Schizosaccharomyces pombe: one gene and its partners. The main gene of each other region encodes a partner of the protein of the gene in region 3 in a complex. Each region holds a gene or a part of one and is shown on either strand. Other genes may lie near its edges.

The links. Proteins that work in one complex are often made in the same cells at the same time.
Region 1: SPOM_SPBC16A3.14 (region 3) and rsm10 share a complex: the UniProt entries of both Schizosaccharomyces pombe proteins name them as parts of the mitochondrial small ribosomal subunit.
Region 2: SPOM_SPBC16A3.14 (region 3) and mrp51 share a complex: the UniProt entries of both Schizosaccharomyces pombe proteins name them as parts of the mitochondrial small ribosomal subunit.

What each region holds. Positions count from the first base shown.
Region 1 is NC_003423.3:3,868,288-3,874,208, reverse strand, and holds rsm10 (mitochondrial 37S ribosomal protein uS10m), read right to left. Parts: upstream 4,042-5,921; 5' UTR 3,917-4,041; coding exon 3,837-3,916; intron 3,771-3,836; coding exon 3,164-3,770; 3' UTR 3,002-3,163; coding exon of another isoform or gene 1,445-3,001; 3' UTR 1,389-1,444; downstream 1-1,388. Other genes in the region: protein Cwf3, read left to right, coding at 571-1,386, 1,445-3,001; mri1 (methylthioribose-1-phosphate isomerase), read left to right, coding at 5,608-5,921. UniProt on the Schizosaccharomyces pombe protein: Component of the mitochondrial ribosome (mitoribosome), a dedicated translation machinery responsible for the synthesis of mitochondrial genome-encoded proteins, including at least some of the essential transmembrane subunits of the mitochondrial respiratory chain.
Region 2 is NC_003424.3:4,110,582-4,115,603, reverse strand, and holds mrp51 (mitochondrial 37S ribosomal protein bS1m), read left to right. Parts: upstream 1-1,945; 5' UTR 1,946-2,007; coding exon 2,008-2,919; 3' UTR 2,920-3,634; downstream 3,635-5,022. Other genes in the region: RecQ type DNA helicase Hrq1, read left to right, coding at 1-1,495, 1,671-1,789; bbc1 (SH3 domain-containing protein), read right to left, coding at 3,942-5,022. UniProt on the Schizosaccharomyces pombe protein: Component of the mitochondrial ribosome (mitoribosome), a dedicated translation machinery responsible for the synthesis of mitochondrial genome-encoded proteins, including at least some of the essential transmembrane subunits of the mitochondrial respiratory chain.
Region 3 is NC_003423.3:4,268,715-4,273,849, reverse strand, and holds SPOM_SPBC16A3.14 (mitochondrial ribosomal protein subunit S26), read left to right. Parts: upstream 1-1,817; 5' UTR 1,818-1,912; coding exon 1,913-2,719; 3' UTR 2,720-2,859; downstream 2,860-5,135. Other genes in the region: meu7 (alpha-amylase 4), read left to right, coding at 1-1,509; nda2 (tubulin alpha 1), read right to left, coding at 3,402-4,714, 4,805-4,859. UniProt on the Schizosaccharomyces pombe protein: Component of the mitochondrial ribosome (mitoribosome), a dedicated translation machinery responsible for the synthesis of mitochondrial genome-encoded proteins, including at least some of the essential transmembrane subunits of the mitochondrial respiratory chain.

The DNA.
Region 1 (5,921 bases), 400 kb from region 3:
TATTGCAAACAATTAGTCAAGGATTTAGGCATTTCGATGTGATTTTTGTAAGCTGATTATATGTACAATTAGTGTTTTTGCCGCTCCTAATTAGTGATAACTAGTTTGAATACTCGTTAATTTTTATGACCAAAAGTCACATTAGCACCACTATTAGCTTTATATCTACCAGGTGAAGCGATTTTGCGTTTCGTATAAATATAATTTGAATATAGCAATCAATGAATAAATTCGAAGTACAGAAGAGGTTTACTGATAAGGGTAGTTAAATAGCAGAAGGTCGTTATGGATAGTGATTTACAACAAATGAAATAGAAATCGAAGGGCTGTATTTTGTAGCTCTGATTTATCAACATACTTTGGCTTAATTCCCTAGAGGTGGGCATATAGACAGTCTTTTAATTCTGTAATTTATTTGTTTTATATCTTATAAGCAATGTGCTTTCTCAATTAAGTTTCATCTTATGGGGTTAAAATTGAACTTCATATTTTTCACTTGCCCAAGGTCTATTGTATGCACGACAACAGCCTACATCGGGCTTCTTTAGAAAACAATCAAAAGGATTAGAAATGGGAGATGTTATTCCACTGAAAGTTAATTTTGATCTAATTAATGTTGATGACGAGCCGTTTGAGCTTGAATTGCTACGTGATCCATATTCTCTGAAAAGTTGGTTACGATATATAAAGACCCATGAAGGATCTACTTTGGAAAAGCGTGTGCTTTTATTTGAAAGAGCTTGTTCAGAACTCCCGGGAAGCTATAAAATATGGAAAAGCTATTTGGAACTACGTGTAGCGCATGTTGAACATTTGAACCCATATTTTCATGCCGAAGCTTTTGCTTCTGTAAACGATTGTTTTGAGCGCTCTTTGATTTTATTGCATAAAATGCCTGTTATTTGGAAACTATATTTACAATTTTTGATGAAACAACCAAATGTCACTAAGATTCGTTGTACATTTAACTCTGCACTTCGCGCCTTACCGGTAACTCAGCACGATGATATTTGGGACATGTTTACGAAATATGCTGAAGATATTGGAGGATTATTTTGCATCCATGTCTACCGCAGATATATACAAGTAGAACCAAGAGCAATTGAAAACTACATTGAGATACTTTGTAAATTAGGGCTGTGGAATGAAGCTGCTCGACAATATGAGGATATTTTAAATCGGCCCGTGTTTTTATCAGCAAAAAGGAAGAGCAATTATCAGATATGGCTCGAGTTTTCCGAGTTAGTTGTTCAGCATCCTGACCATACGCAAAACATAGACGTAGAAAAGGTTTTTAGAGCTGGCATTAAAAGGTTTTCTGATCAAGCAGGGAAACTATGGACTTATTTGGCACAATATTATATACGCATTGGTGACTACGAGAAGGTATGTTTAACTGGTTTGTTTATTGACCCCTTATTGCAAAAACTAACTTATCGTACAGGCAAGAAGCACATTCTATGAAGGGATGAATAACATAATGACTGTAAGAAATTTTACAATTATATTCGATGCTTTTGTTGAATTCGAAGAGCAATGGCTATCTGCACGAGTTGAAGCAAGCAGCGGAAATGCAAATGACGAATTAAGTATCGATTTTCATATGGCCTGGCTCGAGAAAATACTTGACAAACGTCCGCTTTATATCAATGATGTATTATTAAGGCAAAATATAAATAACGTTGACGAATGGCTTCGCCGAGTCAAGTTTTTAGAAGACGACAGCGAAAAAGTTGTTCAAGTTTACACAGACGCTATAAAAAATGTAAATCCAAAGCTGGCGCATGGCTCCCTCGGCAAATTGTTTTCAGAGTTTGCTCGTTTTTATGAAAATTTTGATGATTTAGAACAATCAAGGATAATTTTTGAAAAGGCTACTCATGTACCATATAAAACAGTCAATGAGTTAGCACAAGTTTGGATTGACTGGGCCGAGATGGAACTTCGACATCAAAATTTTGACGCTGCGAGAAAATTAATAGGAGATGCCGTTCATGCTCCTAGAAAAAGTCATATCAGCTTTTTTGATGAATCACTCAGTCCACAAGTACGGCTACACAAGTCATCTAAGATATGGATGTATTATCTTGATCTTGAGGAAAGCGTTGGTACGATTGAAACTACACGCAAATTGTACGACCGCGTCTTTGAACTAAAAATTGCTACTCCCCAGGTGGTTGTCAATTATGCAAATCTCTTAGAGGAGAATGCTTATTTTGAAGATTCATTTAAAATTTATGAGAGAGGTGTTGCGTTATTTAGTTATCCCGTGGCTTTTGAACTTTGGAATTTATATTTAACAAAATTTGTTAAACGATATCAAGGAACGCATATGGAAAGGACCAGGGATTTATTTGAACAAGCATTAGAAGGATGTCCGCCCGAATTTTCGAAAAGTATTTATCTTCTGTATGCCGATTTCGAAGAAAAGTTTGGCAAAGCAAAAAGATCCATTTCTATTTTAGAAAAAGCGGCCGACAAGGTTAAAACAGCAGACCGTCTTGCTATTTACAATGTGTTACTCGTTAAAGTGGCATTAAATTATGGTGTACTGGCGACAAGGACAGTTTATGAGAAGGCTATTGAATCCCTGAGTGACTCAGAAGTCAAAGATATGTGCTTAAGGTTTGCTGAAATGGAGACGAAACTTGGTGAAATCGATCGTGCTCGTTTAATATATATTCATGGAAGTCAATACTGTGATCCAAGAGTTGAAACGGATTATTGGAAAGCATGGCAAGAATTTGAAATAAGGTACGGAAATCCAGAAGAAACAGTTAAAGAAATGCTTCGTATTAAACGGTCTGTACAAACTAAGTTTAGCACTGATTCCCTTCATATAGCGAAGAGAGCAGCTAAAATTGAAAGTGCAGCAGCACCAATGGATCCAATGGAACAGCTTGAAATGGAAAAATCTGAAGGACCTAAGGCACTTGCGGGTTTTGTTCTTTCGAAAAGCAATCCCCAAGAAACTTCAAAAATTACTGGTGAGGAAAACTAACGAAACAAGTGTGGACTATTCGTAACGTTTTTAGTTAAAGAACACTTTTAATGAAGAAAAGCTAGTGTCATATTGTTAAAAAAAAAAGTACGAATACAGTCAGAGTATTTTTGCTAATAAACGGTCCAACATCAGAGTAATTGAAAACACATTAGTTAATTTTTATTTTCGAGATGAATTTTTTAACAAATCTTTGTAAATGGGGTCGTTTCTGAGCAATTTTTCGGCATTTTGTGTGATTATATCTTTTTTCGAAGGACCGTTTAACAATTCTTTGAAATTATCAGTAGACTTAGACTGTGACTCGAAGTTTTTAAGGGCATCATCGATGGATTCGTATTCATAAGCTTTTGCTTGCAATTTTAAATCCCACATGTTGCATTTTCGTAAATAACTAAAAAACGTTTCTAAAGTAACTGGATTGACACTGTACAGTTGTATAAGTCGAGAGTGCGTAATACGTTCAAAATTCTCCTGAGAAGATTTGTGAATAAAAGGTGATCGGAGTAAAGTCCAGCTTTCTACTTTGTTGGGTAATGGACGTGGACCCTTGATTGGAATTTTCATGTAATACGCTGTTCGACAAATGAAGTCGGTAAACGTATCAAGTTTTGGAGTTTCAAAGCTTTTAATTTTTAGAGAAGCACAAAGTACGTCGTTTTCAGAAGGATTGAATTTAACAGGGTTCAAATATACAGCTGCAACGTTGGAAGGAAGCTGTTGAAAAAATGGATTCTCAAAAAGTTGATCCTTTTCGCTGTTCCCTTTGCTAATAAATTGGGGTTAGAATGTACAAAATTATAGCTTAAATTAGAGGAAAGGATTGAATACATACGGTGATTCTTTGCCAATAGCTGTCTGGAAACAACGTTTCGGTTGCACGCGAGGTAATGTACCAAACATATACCGTTTCATGATTAATATTTTAGCCGGTTACTTAAAATACTTGTTAAGAAAACCACAAGAACAAAATTCCAACAATTAAACACTGTAAAGGTGTTTTTTTTTAACAAAATTTTTTGGTTGGAGTGGGGAGTAATGGTCGAGCTACACTTGTCATCCACCATCATATTCAGTTTAACACAATTATCGTAGGACTAAGGGGTTATTAATCAATGTTTTAATTGAACATAAACAAGCGGAGCGAAATCATTTTAAATGTCGTTCGCGCGTGAATACCTTGAAAAACACGTAGATGGTAACATTTATTTTAAAAAAGCAATATCATTCTGTAATTTATACTATGATGGAACGATCTAACTATAAATTTTTTATTTGCATTTGAAGGTCAAAGTTTAGAATTCAAAGGTGGGTGTGATTGTACTGTACTAAAAATATTATTGATGCACCATAGTGAAGAAAACCAAAAAAATTCGATTAAACATGAATATTTGTGATTATAAGGCTTTCAGCACAATTTAAAATTGACCAGTATGATGAGAGTTCTCAGTCAGCAATGAGATGTAATTTTTTAAAATTATGAGGAGACAATTATTTTACAATAACAAATTCCGGAAGTTAACAAAAGTGTGAACTGAACAATTGTGCTTTTGAGCTAGGAATTAAAGGTTTGGGACTGGCATCCTACTTGCAATTATGGAAGAATCTACTGATTTGTCATTCAAATTACTTTATACTACAAGAATACATAGGGATTTTGGAATTAAATGCTTACCTCGTAACACAATAATCGTTCTCATTTAAATTGGCTTTAACAATGAAAAATATTCAATGTTTTACAGTTTCAAGGTTGTATGTTAAACTGTTACAGCAGACAGCTATATAAATATATTAACTTGCGACCCTTGTTTACCAATCCTGCATTCAAAACTGACTTGCGATCACTGATATATATATATATATATTTAAGTATTGCAAACGAGTATCACTTTTCAAGCAGATAGGTTGGTGTCAACAACTTCTTGCTGCATGTCAAAGTCAAAGTCGCACATATGATTATTAAATTGACACTACCGAACATCTTGATAAATACTTCAAGCATGGCTTTTCTGGAAAACGAAAAAAATATATCGTTCTCATCTTTAAAAGTTTGAAGTTTGTATACATAGGTTCTACAGCTGTAATTCCTTCATAAAACATCAATGCATATTATTATTCCTTGATTCTAATATGTCAGATCGACTCATTATTAAAAATAAATTCGGTGATACATTTTTTAATCTATAATTCAAGGCACCATACTCATTATCAAAATAACTTGGTAATATAATTTGACGATGGAACTTACATCTTTGAATGAGTCTAAATTTTTTGTTTACGCGTTCAAAATGTTAGATGCATATCAAATAGTGCGGATAAATAAGAAGCACAATATTAAGTTAGGGTTGCTAATTTTATCTATCTATAAGCAGTGTCAAAAGTACGAAAGACTGCGTTAACTCTTCTTATAAATTTATATTAAACTTAATGTACTATTTTTTGTTCCTAAGTAAACTACACAGTGTAACTTTATATTAATTCATTATTTCTATTAATGCATCGCTACGAGCTTCATCAAATCCTTTAATTTTATCTGATGCATGTGCGTTCGTGCGCTAGTGAAGTAAAAGTTTTCAAAGGCAGAGATATTCAAAAATTTGGGCAGAATGTCGTTGCAAGCAATCATTTATAATGAGGACAAGCTTCTTGTATTAGACCAATTACTTCTTCCGTACGAGCGTAAATACATTTCAGTTAGTAATGTAGAAGACGCATTCGCTGTCATAAAAAAAATGCAAGTTCGTGGGGCCCCAGCTATTGCTATTGTAGCAGCTTTGAGTGTGGCTGTCGGATTAAAACATCTTTCTGAAGATGCAGATGCAAAAGAATATGTTATAAATAGCTTTGAGCATCTCAAACAGTCTCGTCCTACCGCTGTCAATCTTTTTGAAACTGCAAAGTTTATGCAAGGCATTGCTCT
Region 2 (5,022 bases), on a different chromosome or scaffold from region 3:
AAGCATCCTGATGATGGAAAGAAAAGCGCAATCTCTGAAGCCTCGAAACTGCTTATTAAATTTGCCGAAAAGCGGGTGCGTACAATTGTTTTCTGTCGTGTTCGAAAAACCTGTGAGTCGTTAATGAGACTAGTGAGGCAGGAATTAAAAACCAAACAAAAAGGAGATCTTTTATCTAAGATTCAATCGTATAGGGCTGGGTATACGGTTCAGGAACGCAGGAAGATAGAGAGTGAAATGTTTAACGGGAAATTATATGGGATTATTGCGACGAATGCTTTAGAGCTAGGTATTGATATAGGATCACTGGATGCCGTTATAACCATAGGATTTCCATATTCTTTGTCTAACTTGCGCCAGCAATTTGGTCGTGCTGGTAGAAGGAATAAGTCTTCCTTAGCAGTATATATAGTTGAGACATTTCCCGTTGATCAGTTTTATTTAAAGCATCCTATTTTGATTCACACTCAACCAAATGCTGAACTCACTTTAGACTTGACAAATGAGGTATTACTAGCGAGTCATCTTCAGTGTGCTGCATATGAGCTTCCCATTAACATAAGGAGCGACGAAAAGTTTTTTGGAAATCAAATTCAAGACATTTGCGAAGCAAATTTAGAAATGGTTGAAGAGAGTTATCGGCCTCATCCAAAATATCTTCCTTTTCCTGCCTCGCAGGTACGGATACGAAGCGTTAGTGAAGACATGTTTACTCTCGTCGATGTCACAAATGATAAGAATGTTATTCTAGAACTCCTCGAACCTTTTCGTGTTGCATTAACTGCTTACGAAGGTGCAGTTTATGTTTATCAAGGAAAAACGTTTATCATTAGGCTCCTAAATATTAACAAGAGAATTATTACTGCTCATCAAGTTGATGTTGAATGGTCAACATTGCAAAGAGATTTCACAGATGTTGATCCTGTTCGCAGCTTAATGAAGAAGACTATGCATGGAAGTACAAACATTTATTTTGGGGCTGTTAAAGCAACATTACATGTATTTGGGTATTTCAAAGTTAACAAGCAGAAAGATATTCTGGACGTGGTAGATATTACCGATCATCCTGTTGAAATTGATAGTCGAGGTTTCTGGATAGATGTACCTTGGCATATCATTGAGGTTTTGTCATTAAAAAAAATAAATGGAGCCGCTAGTATACATGCTGCCCAACATGCTTTACTTTCGTTGATGCCAATTTTTATTAGTAACAGCGGTAACGATATTCGAACAGAATGTAAAGCGGGTGAAAAGGAGTATAAAGAGGCTAAAAGCGAGCGAAGACGTCCTTCCCGACTCATTTTCTATGATAATTGTGGTGATTCATCTGGTGCTGGTTTATGCAACAAGGCATATGAACATACTGATGAATTAATTACAATGGCCATTGAGCGAATTGAGAGTTGCGATTGCAAAGTTCGTGAAGGTTGTCCCGGATGTATTACGAGTTCAAAATTTGAAGGCGGAGTTTGCTCTGGAGAAGTACTTGACAAGGGTAAGTATAGATATACTTTGCATTTTTTGTTGGACGGTGAAGCAATCCCGTATAGATTGGTCGCTTAGTAGTTTGTAAGATAACACTCTCATTTTTTTTATGATCAAATGAAAAGGGATTGCTTGCAAACTTAAATAGATTATTCACATTACTTCTACTAACATATTTCTTTCAGTTGGCGCTTTAATCTTATTGAAAATGCTACTGTGTCAACATGTAAATTTAGATATATATGCTGATGGACCAGAGATTGATTCATATCACGCTTTGCGAACTTTAATACCTTCTTGTTAATAATTGAATTTATTTTTTTTATTTTGTTTATATTAGACTAAATTATTAGTTAGTACTACTAATATTGCGTTGTGCTTTTTGATTTTACATTTAAACCCTACCCTAACTTACCGGAGTCAATGTTAGATACTGACAGCGCTCAGTGCTTACTACCGTACAGCCACCGTTCTCCTCATAGAAGCCAAGTCCCAATATAAATCTTGAATTTTTGTAAAAATATGAGTTTTGCACAAATTCTCCGTGGCTCGAGGGCAATGGCTTCTCCAAAATGTCTTCCAGAATCCAATTATTCAACATCACACCTTCGGTTTCCTCGATTGCAATCCATAACTTCAAAAAAAAATAGTAGAGCTCGTGGTGATTGGGGACTGAAAAGGACTCTTCCAAAAATAAAGACAAGATACATATGTGTGCGGCAGCAAGATTCCTTATACAAGCAAGCAGATTTTCAATCAAGCGCTAAATTTGTTCGTCTAGTTCGCAATTGGTTTGATGCTGGATTTGTACGAGATCCTTCTGAAGTTGCTTTGTTGCAAGAATTATTGAAAGAAACGGGGTTGAAAGATACGCGTGACATAAATAAGGTATTTTCTCCTTCTAAACAATCCGACGAAAATGATAACTTTCGCCGTTACGGAGTTTCTGGCGGTATTCAATACAGTAATGTTCCTTTAATTAATTCTCGAGTAACACCTAATTGTGAATCAAATTGTTCCAATATTCGACGTCGACTTACGGCCCATATAATTAGTTCAGATGCCTCTACTGCATACTACGGTTTAGGGGGCTTGATTCTGAGGCTACCTCGAACAGTTGTCTTTAATAGAAATCGGTCATCTCCCCTCTTTTCCCAGGAACAGCGCATTTCTTATACAGTCTATAAAAATGGTCGACTCCGACTAGTTCCCTTTTCCGGTCCCGAGTTAGAAACACATCTTGCCTATCCCTCGGAAGACTCGGAGGTTGAATCGTTTTTTAACAGAGATATTCAATTGGTAGCCAAAAGAGATTCATCTCTCGATGCTCCCGTATCCTATCAACGGGGTATTATGAAATTTTTTATGGCTCCCTCTCAAACCTCAAATAATGAAGCTAATTCCTCAGAGAAAGATAACCTCTCTAATTCGTAGAGGACTTTATGATCATGTGCATTTATGCTATCTCCTTATGGTTTACTCGATTTTAAGTTGCATTTAACAACCTATCATTTTTATTATTAAGAAGGTTCGTTTAAGTCTCCTATATTCTGTTGTTATCCCACAGTACAATCTACCACTAGCAATAATCTTAACGACATACGATTCTCCTTTAAAAAATCTTTCAATCTATTTATTCTTACTTCTCTTTGTGTGGCATCAAATTCTTGTACCAATAATGGGTCTATTGCTTCAAATGACTCTTACACTTTCCATTTGTTTCCCTATTTACTAGTTTACCCTAAACTGCGTTTTGCACTTGACGGTTGTTCATTTTGGTGAACAGTCATAACACTTGAACTGAATGTGTTTTCTAAGAAGTTTGTTTGGTTTGCAATGTTACATCCTTGTTCTCTGGGTGTTAGTGAAAGTCACTCTCGTTAATCTTGACTAGGTATATATTTCAGTTAACCGTTATTTTCGGTTTCACCTCGAAATAAATGTTTTTTGTTGATTATATAAGCGCAAGCGTTTGAAAAAAGAGTTAGAATTTTGTAAAGGATTTTTTTTTTCCGAAATTGTCTTTAAGTACAGTTCAATAACTTACAAAATCTTATCCTTTTACCATACATTGTTAATTGTGCATTTCAACTGTTTAATTAGATATAACTGATTATTAGCATATACTATAAAAATGACTGTAGATGTGTATATATATTTCAAAAGTTGAATCACATAGCCCAATCTTTGGTATATATGTGAATATAATTCAGCAAACAACTTCCACGAGATATAAGTCTTCTAAAAACATAGGGCGTGTCGTCAAAAAATGATATAAATAATCCCAATCGTCAAAGATATATCAGTGAAAGAATATACTGACAGACGATCATTAAGGACTATTCAAATCTGCTTCGCAATTGAACAATTTAAAAAAATGAGTGCTGCTCTTTAGGAAGTTTGAGTTATTTGTGATAAAATGATAAGAACTTAAAACCATAGTAAAATAATTACCATTAATTCCAACCAAGCCAAGATCGACGCATTACACGCCACACAGTAACTTCTCCACTCTTTAAATCACCGAATTTGTAGCTTGCAACTGAAACCTTCTTGGACTCTCTGCCTTGTTCCAACACCCTAATCTTCAGTTTCGAAACATCCCACTCTGATATGATACCATAATGCATGGGCTTACCAACTTCAAGAGAGTATTTTGAACGAAGAGTACCTTTTTGTCCACTAAATTTAGCCTTATCAAATGTAACTATATCACCTGGGCGAATCTCACCAATTTGTTGCACAGTAACATTTCCAACATTCTTGTAAATCACACCTCCAAAAGTCTGTTTGTTTATAGGTTCGAGATTATGCGCCAGTATCGACATAACGGAATTAACAAAAGTGAATGCAGAACCATCACCAACCATGCTACCTTGGTAAGCTCGGGCTTTTTTCAAAATTGTAGAGCCATAACAAGCATATTCCTCATCTAATCTAGCTTTTGAAGGCTGTGCTGGTGGAGCTAGTTGAAGTTGAGATAATTGTGTAATATTTTGGTTATGTGGGTTGAATGTAGCTGTCAAGACTGTTTGGCTGTAGTCAGGGAACAGTATGTGTACAGACTTGTATTTTTTATCTTGCCCTGTAATTCCTTCTTTTATCATATATAGAACAGAGTCATTCATCTGCACTACGGATTTAGGAACAGCAGTAGAATTCAGCCACCATTTCTCAGAAGCGCAAGGCTCAACCGGCTTTGCAGAAAAGCTTTCGTTAAAAGGTCCAGTAGTAGAGACAATAGAAGGTTTCTTACTAGCTCTACTCGAAGAGCGCGAAAGATGTCGATGAAGAGATTTACGACTGTCTTGATGCGCTAATGACGTACGAGTAGAAGATGAATCAGCATGTCCTTCATTGTGATGATGATGGTGTTCTCCAGACTTTGAAGACTTACGACTGCTTGTCGATGTTTCATGCCTTTCAGCTTTAGATTTCGACCTTGAAACTGAAGTACGTGCTGGAGCAGCAGAAGCCATAGAAGAAGAAGTTGGAGAAGGTGAGGCATTCGAGTGTGGCGACGGAACCGAAGATCTT
Region 3 (5,135 bases):
GGAACCAAGCCTGATCATAAACCCTGGAAGCACGAGGAACACTGCCATCACGGTAAGTTTCCCCGTCCAATTCCTCACAATGGAACCAAGCCTGACCATAAACCCTGGAAGCACGAGGAACACTGCCATCACGGTAGGTTCCCTCGTCCAGTTCCCCACAATGGAACCAAGCCCGATCACAAGCCATGGAAGCACGAGGAACACTGCTCATGCCATCATGATAAGTTCTCTCGCCCAGTTCCTCATAATGGAACCAAGCCTGACCACAAACCTTGGAAGCACGAGGAACACTGCCACCATGGTAAGTTCCTTCGTCCAGTTCCTCACAATGTAACCAAGCCTGACCATAAACCCTGGAAGCACGAGGAACACTGCCATCACGGTAAGTTCCCTCGTCCAGTTCCCCACAATGGAACCAAGCCCGATCACAAGCCTTGGAAGCACGAGGAACACTGCTCTTGCCATGAAGACCATTCAGTTCATGAGCGTCCTAGTGCTAAAGGGGCTCTCGAGGACTATATTCAAACATTTGTAGAAACTTTCCAAATTGATGGTATTCGTTTCGATGCTATGGGTGACAAATATAGAAAGTACTGGCCAGATTTTTGCAAAGCTGCTGGAGTGTTTTGCATGGGTGACTTGAAATCTTCCGACTCTTTAAAAGTTTGTGATTGGCAAAACGACTTGGAAGGGTTGAGTAACTTCCCTGTTAGAGAATCTGCTGTAAAAGCATTTTTGATGAATAATCCAGAGGGAATTGTTGATCTTGCCGACAAAATGACTGACATGCGCGGTTTGTGTGTCAATCCCCTATTGTTAGGAAACTTCGTTGAGAACAAAGACCTTCCTAGAATGGCTTCAATTTCTAGTGATCCAGCCACCTTAAAGAATGCAATTGCTTTTGTTCTTATGGGAGATGGTATTCCTATGATGTACAACGGCCAAGAACTTGCCATGCGCGGTGAAGAGGTTCCTTATAATCGACCTGCAATTTGGGAGAAAGGTTTCCCAAAAAGAAATCCTTACTATAAGTTCACGTCTACAATCAATCGTTTCCGCAAAGCTATGATTGAAAGCAAAGACGGAGAAGCTTTCTTAAATATGCAGTCGGATATTAGCATCGTTGATAAAAGAATATTGCTTTTACGACGTGGCAAAGTAATAACCGTACTCAACAACTTAGGTTCATATTACATTCATTTCCATTATACTGTTTCGGCAGAAGAGCACAAGTGGATGGACGTATTATCTTGCAAGTCCGTTCCAGTACAAGATAATCGACAGGTATTTATGGTACGCAACGGTGAACCCATGATCTTGTACCCAGAGGAATCGGCTTATGAGATGGGATTGTGCCCATCTCCAATTCAGCTTACTGAAGATTATAACAGTGAAGGTTCTCTCTCCATTAACGTTGAAGAAGCCCAAACATCAAAGGCACCAGAGCAAAATCGAGGATTTACCAATGTCCTCGCCGCTCTTTTATTATCTTTGTTAATGATTTTGTAGGTATACGTTCCTTGAAATCTAATAATATACAGATTTTTTATTTTACATAAACCTTTTTCATATAAAGTATGATGACTTAGTTTACAGACCCATAGGGCTCTGTACTGAAGTTCATGAACGATAAGTCACCTCAATATAAATAATAGACGGGTAAATCCATTTTAATTTTTGGCTTTAAATTACAAAGTACTCAAGTAAAGCTTTAGCCAAAAAAATTTAAACTCCCATAATGATATCCGACGCAAACCGTCCAAACGTATTCATAATTGCGGTGGTGTGGCTAACTTGTATTTGACACAAGGCGAGCTGCGATACCCAAACACGTCCAGTTCCCTTAAATACTTCGTTGTTGGTTTATATAGGTATTTCAGCAAGTTATACCTAATATTCAGATAATTTGCTTATGCTCAACACAGGTCTACGAAAAGGGCTTGCGCTTTCACCGATAACTCACCTTCTGAAACGATGTAGTTCAGTTACAGACAATGTGCATCGAGTAAACTATTGCTACAATTACCACACAGTTCCTAATCTTTCACAAAGAAATTTGCTACCACTTTTCAGTCCTGAAGCTCTTGACATTGCCTGGGACCAGCATCAACGTCAAGTAGTAAAAGAATTAAATGATCGAGTGAAGGGAACAGAACTTGAGGATTCATCTGTGTTTAACATTATCTTTCAAACAGCCGCTTTGCCTGAGCATGCAGCCACATTCCAGTTTGCAAGTCAAGCTTACAACAATCATTTCTTTTTTCAAAGCTTGATCGGAAAAAGAGCTGCAGATGCCAAAAAAAACTCAAAATATGAAGCTAATGCCGCTATCAATAAAGCAGTCAATGAAAACTTTGGTTCTAAAGAAAATTTACTTTCTAAAATTCATGAGCTTGCCTCAAATAGTTTTGGAGCATGTTGGCTTTGGATTGTAATTGATGATTATAATAGATTAAACTTACTGAGAACTTTTCAAGCAGGTTCTCCGTATCTTTGGACTAGATGGCAATCAAATGATCCCCATCTTATTTCTAGTGTGCCAGATTATAGTGCCAGACCTCGAAAATATGCGCATGTTCCCATTTTAAACCTTTGTTTATGGAATCATGCATATTATAAAGATTACGGTCTTTTAAATCGCTCAAGATACATCGACACATGGTTTGATTGCATAGATTGGTCTGTCATTGAGGAAAGATTGACTAATTCTTTGGTATGAAAGAAAGGTGCAATCAATTTAGATAATTATATCTCATCACAATCTTGTTATGATTTTAAAAAAACGCCTTTTTCTACTTTCACCTTATAAATTTCATTCTAATTTTAATAAAAATTGTGTTTTCTCTACTCGTCCTTGAAACTTCTACAGTAGACTGTTTTGGCTCATGCTCGTATTCTAAATGATTTTAGGCTAATTCCGAGCAATCGAGTCATATAAGTTAAGTAATTTATTAACCAATTAACCGATTTATTGCTTAGAGGTTGAGATTAAAAACATTTTTTTTGTAAAGCTAGAAAAGCGCCAATACACAATGTAATTTACAGTTTATAGTGTCTCTTTTTCATGCAAAATTAAAAAAAAAAGATACCACAGAAAGGAGAAATTGAAATTTTACTGGTGGTTTATTTGCAAAGATAGAGTGGATTAGATTGATATCTAAATGAGAATTGACTAGTAAAGAAAAAGAATGTTCAAGTTAAAAAATCAGTGAGATAAGTGGACGAGCAATTTATCTCCTTGCCGCTGGGTGAACATTTTAACTCTCAAAGAAAGACAGACACCCTTTAGTTATTTGACCACAGGGCTGAATAAACAAAGATTAAAGAGACAAGGGTAGATGCAAGATATCTTCAAGTTATAAAACGAATGAAATAACGTATAAAAGCGATTATTGGATAAATTAATACTCTTCGTCAGCTTCGTACATTTCGTTATCCATAGAATCTTGACCAACCTCTTCGTAATCCCTTTCTAAGGCAGCCAAATCTTCTCTGGCTTCTGAAAATTCACCTTCTTCCATACCTTCACCGACATACCAATGAACAAAAGCACGCTTGCTGTACATAAGGTCAAACTTGTGGTCCAGACGAGACCAAGCTTCAGCAATCGAGGTGGTATTTGAAAGCATACAAACAGCACGATTTACCTTAGCGATTCCACTACCAGGAACGTGTTGGGGTGGCTCATAGCAAATACCGATTTTGAAACCAGTAGGGCACCAATCAACAAATTGGATGGTGCGACGAGATTTAATGCTAGTAACGGCAGCCTGGACATCACGTGGGATAACATCACCACGATACAAAAGACAAGTAGCCATATAGCGGCCAGTTCGTGGATCACATTTTACCATTTGATTATAAGGCTCAAAGCACTGATTCGTAATCTCTTGTACGCTGTTGGATTCATGGAATGCTTTAGCTGCACTGACAATAGGAGAATAAGTGACTAAAGGAAAGTGAATACGAGGGTATGGCACAAGATTAGTTTGAAACTCATTTAAGTCAACATTTAAGCTACCAGCAAATCGAAGAGAAGCGGTGATAGAAGAGACAACTTGAGCAATAAGGCGGTTGAGGTTTTCATAGGTTGGACGCTCAATGTCAAGATTTCGGCGACAGATATCGTAACAAGCCTCATTATCAACCATAAAGGTACAGTCAGAGTTATCGAGAGTAGCATGGGTAGTGAGCACAGAGTTGTAAGGTTCAACAACGGATGTGCTCACTTGAGGGGCGGGATAAACAGAAAATTGGAGGTTAGATTTCTTTCCGTATTCCATGTTCAAGCGCTCCAGAAGTAAAGCACCCAAACCCGAGCCGGTACCACCACCAAAAGAATGAAATACAAGGAAACCTTGGAGACCAGAACAATTGTCAGCCATACGACGTATCCTTTCTAATACACTATCAATCATTTCCTTTCCTACAGTATAATGTCCACGGGCGTAATTGTTAGAAGCATCTTCCTTACCAGTTACCATCTGTTCAGGATGAAACAGATCTTTATACGGTCCAGTACGAACTTGATCAATAACGTTAGGCTCAAGATCAACATAGATACTTCTAGGTACGAATTTTCCTTGCCCGGTTTCAGAAAAAAATGTACCGAATCCATCATTTAAATAGCTATTGTTTTTGTGAACTTCGGAGTTTTCTGTAGGAAAACCGTCGGGTCCTATGCCATGCTCCAAACAGTACAACTCCCAGCATGCTAGAAATGTTAGCTAAATTTTTTATGAAAAAATCGATTGCCAACTATTTAGAGTATACAGCAATACAAAAAGATGGATATTGAACATACCGTTACCGATTTGAACACCTGCTTGTCCAACATGAACAGAAATTACTTCTCTCATAATTTGTGATAATAACGAATGTAAATGCAACTAAACGCGCTACACAAGACGTTTTGGTTGCAAACTTAGGTTGTTTGTCAAGGGAGAGCGTAGGTACTCCAAGTCATGAGTAGGAAATAACGAAAAACGAATGAACTCGTAAAGCACTAAGGAGGGAAGTTTATGCAATGAGGTTCCAAAACTCATACCATGCAAATAACATAATGTTTTATAAAGAAGTAATATAAGTAGTATTCATTAATATTCTTGCAATGATCAATTTTCGAATTTTTCTGT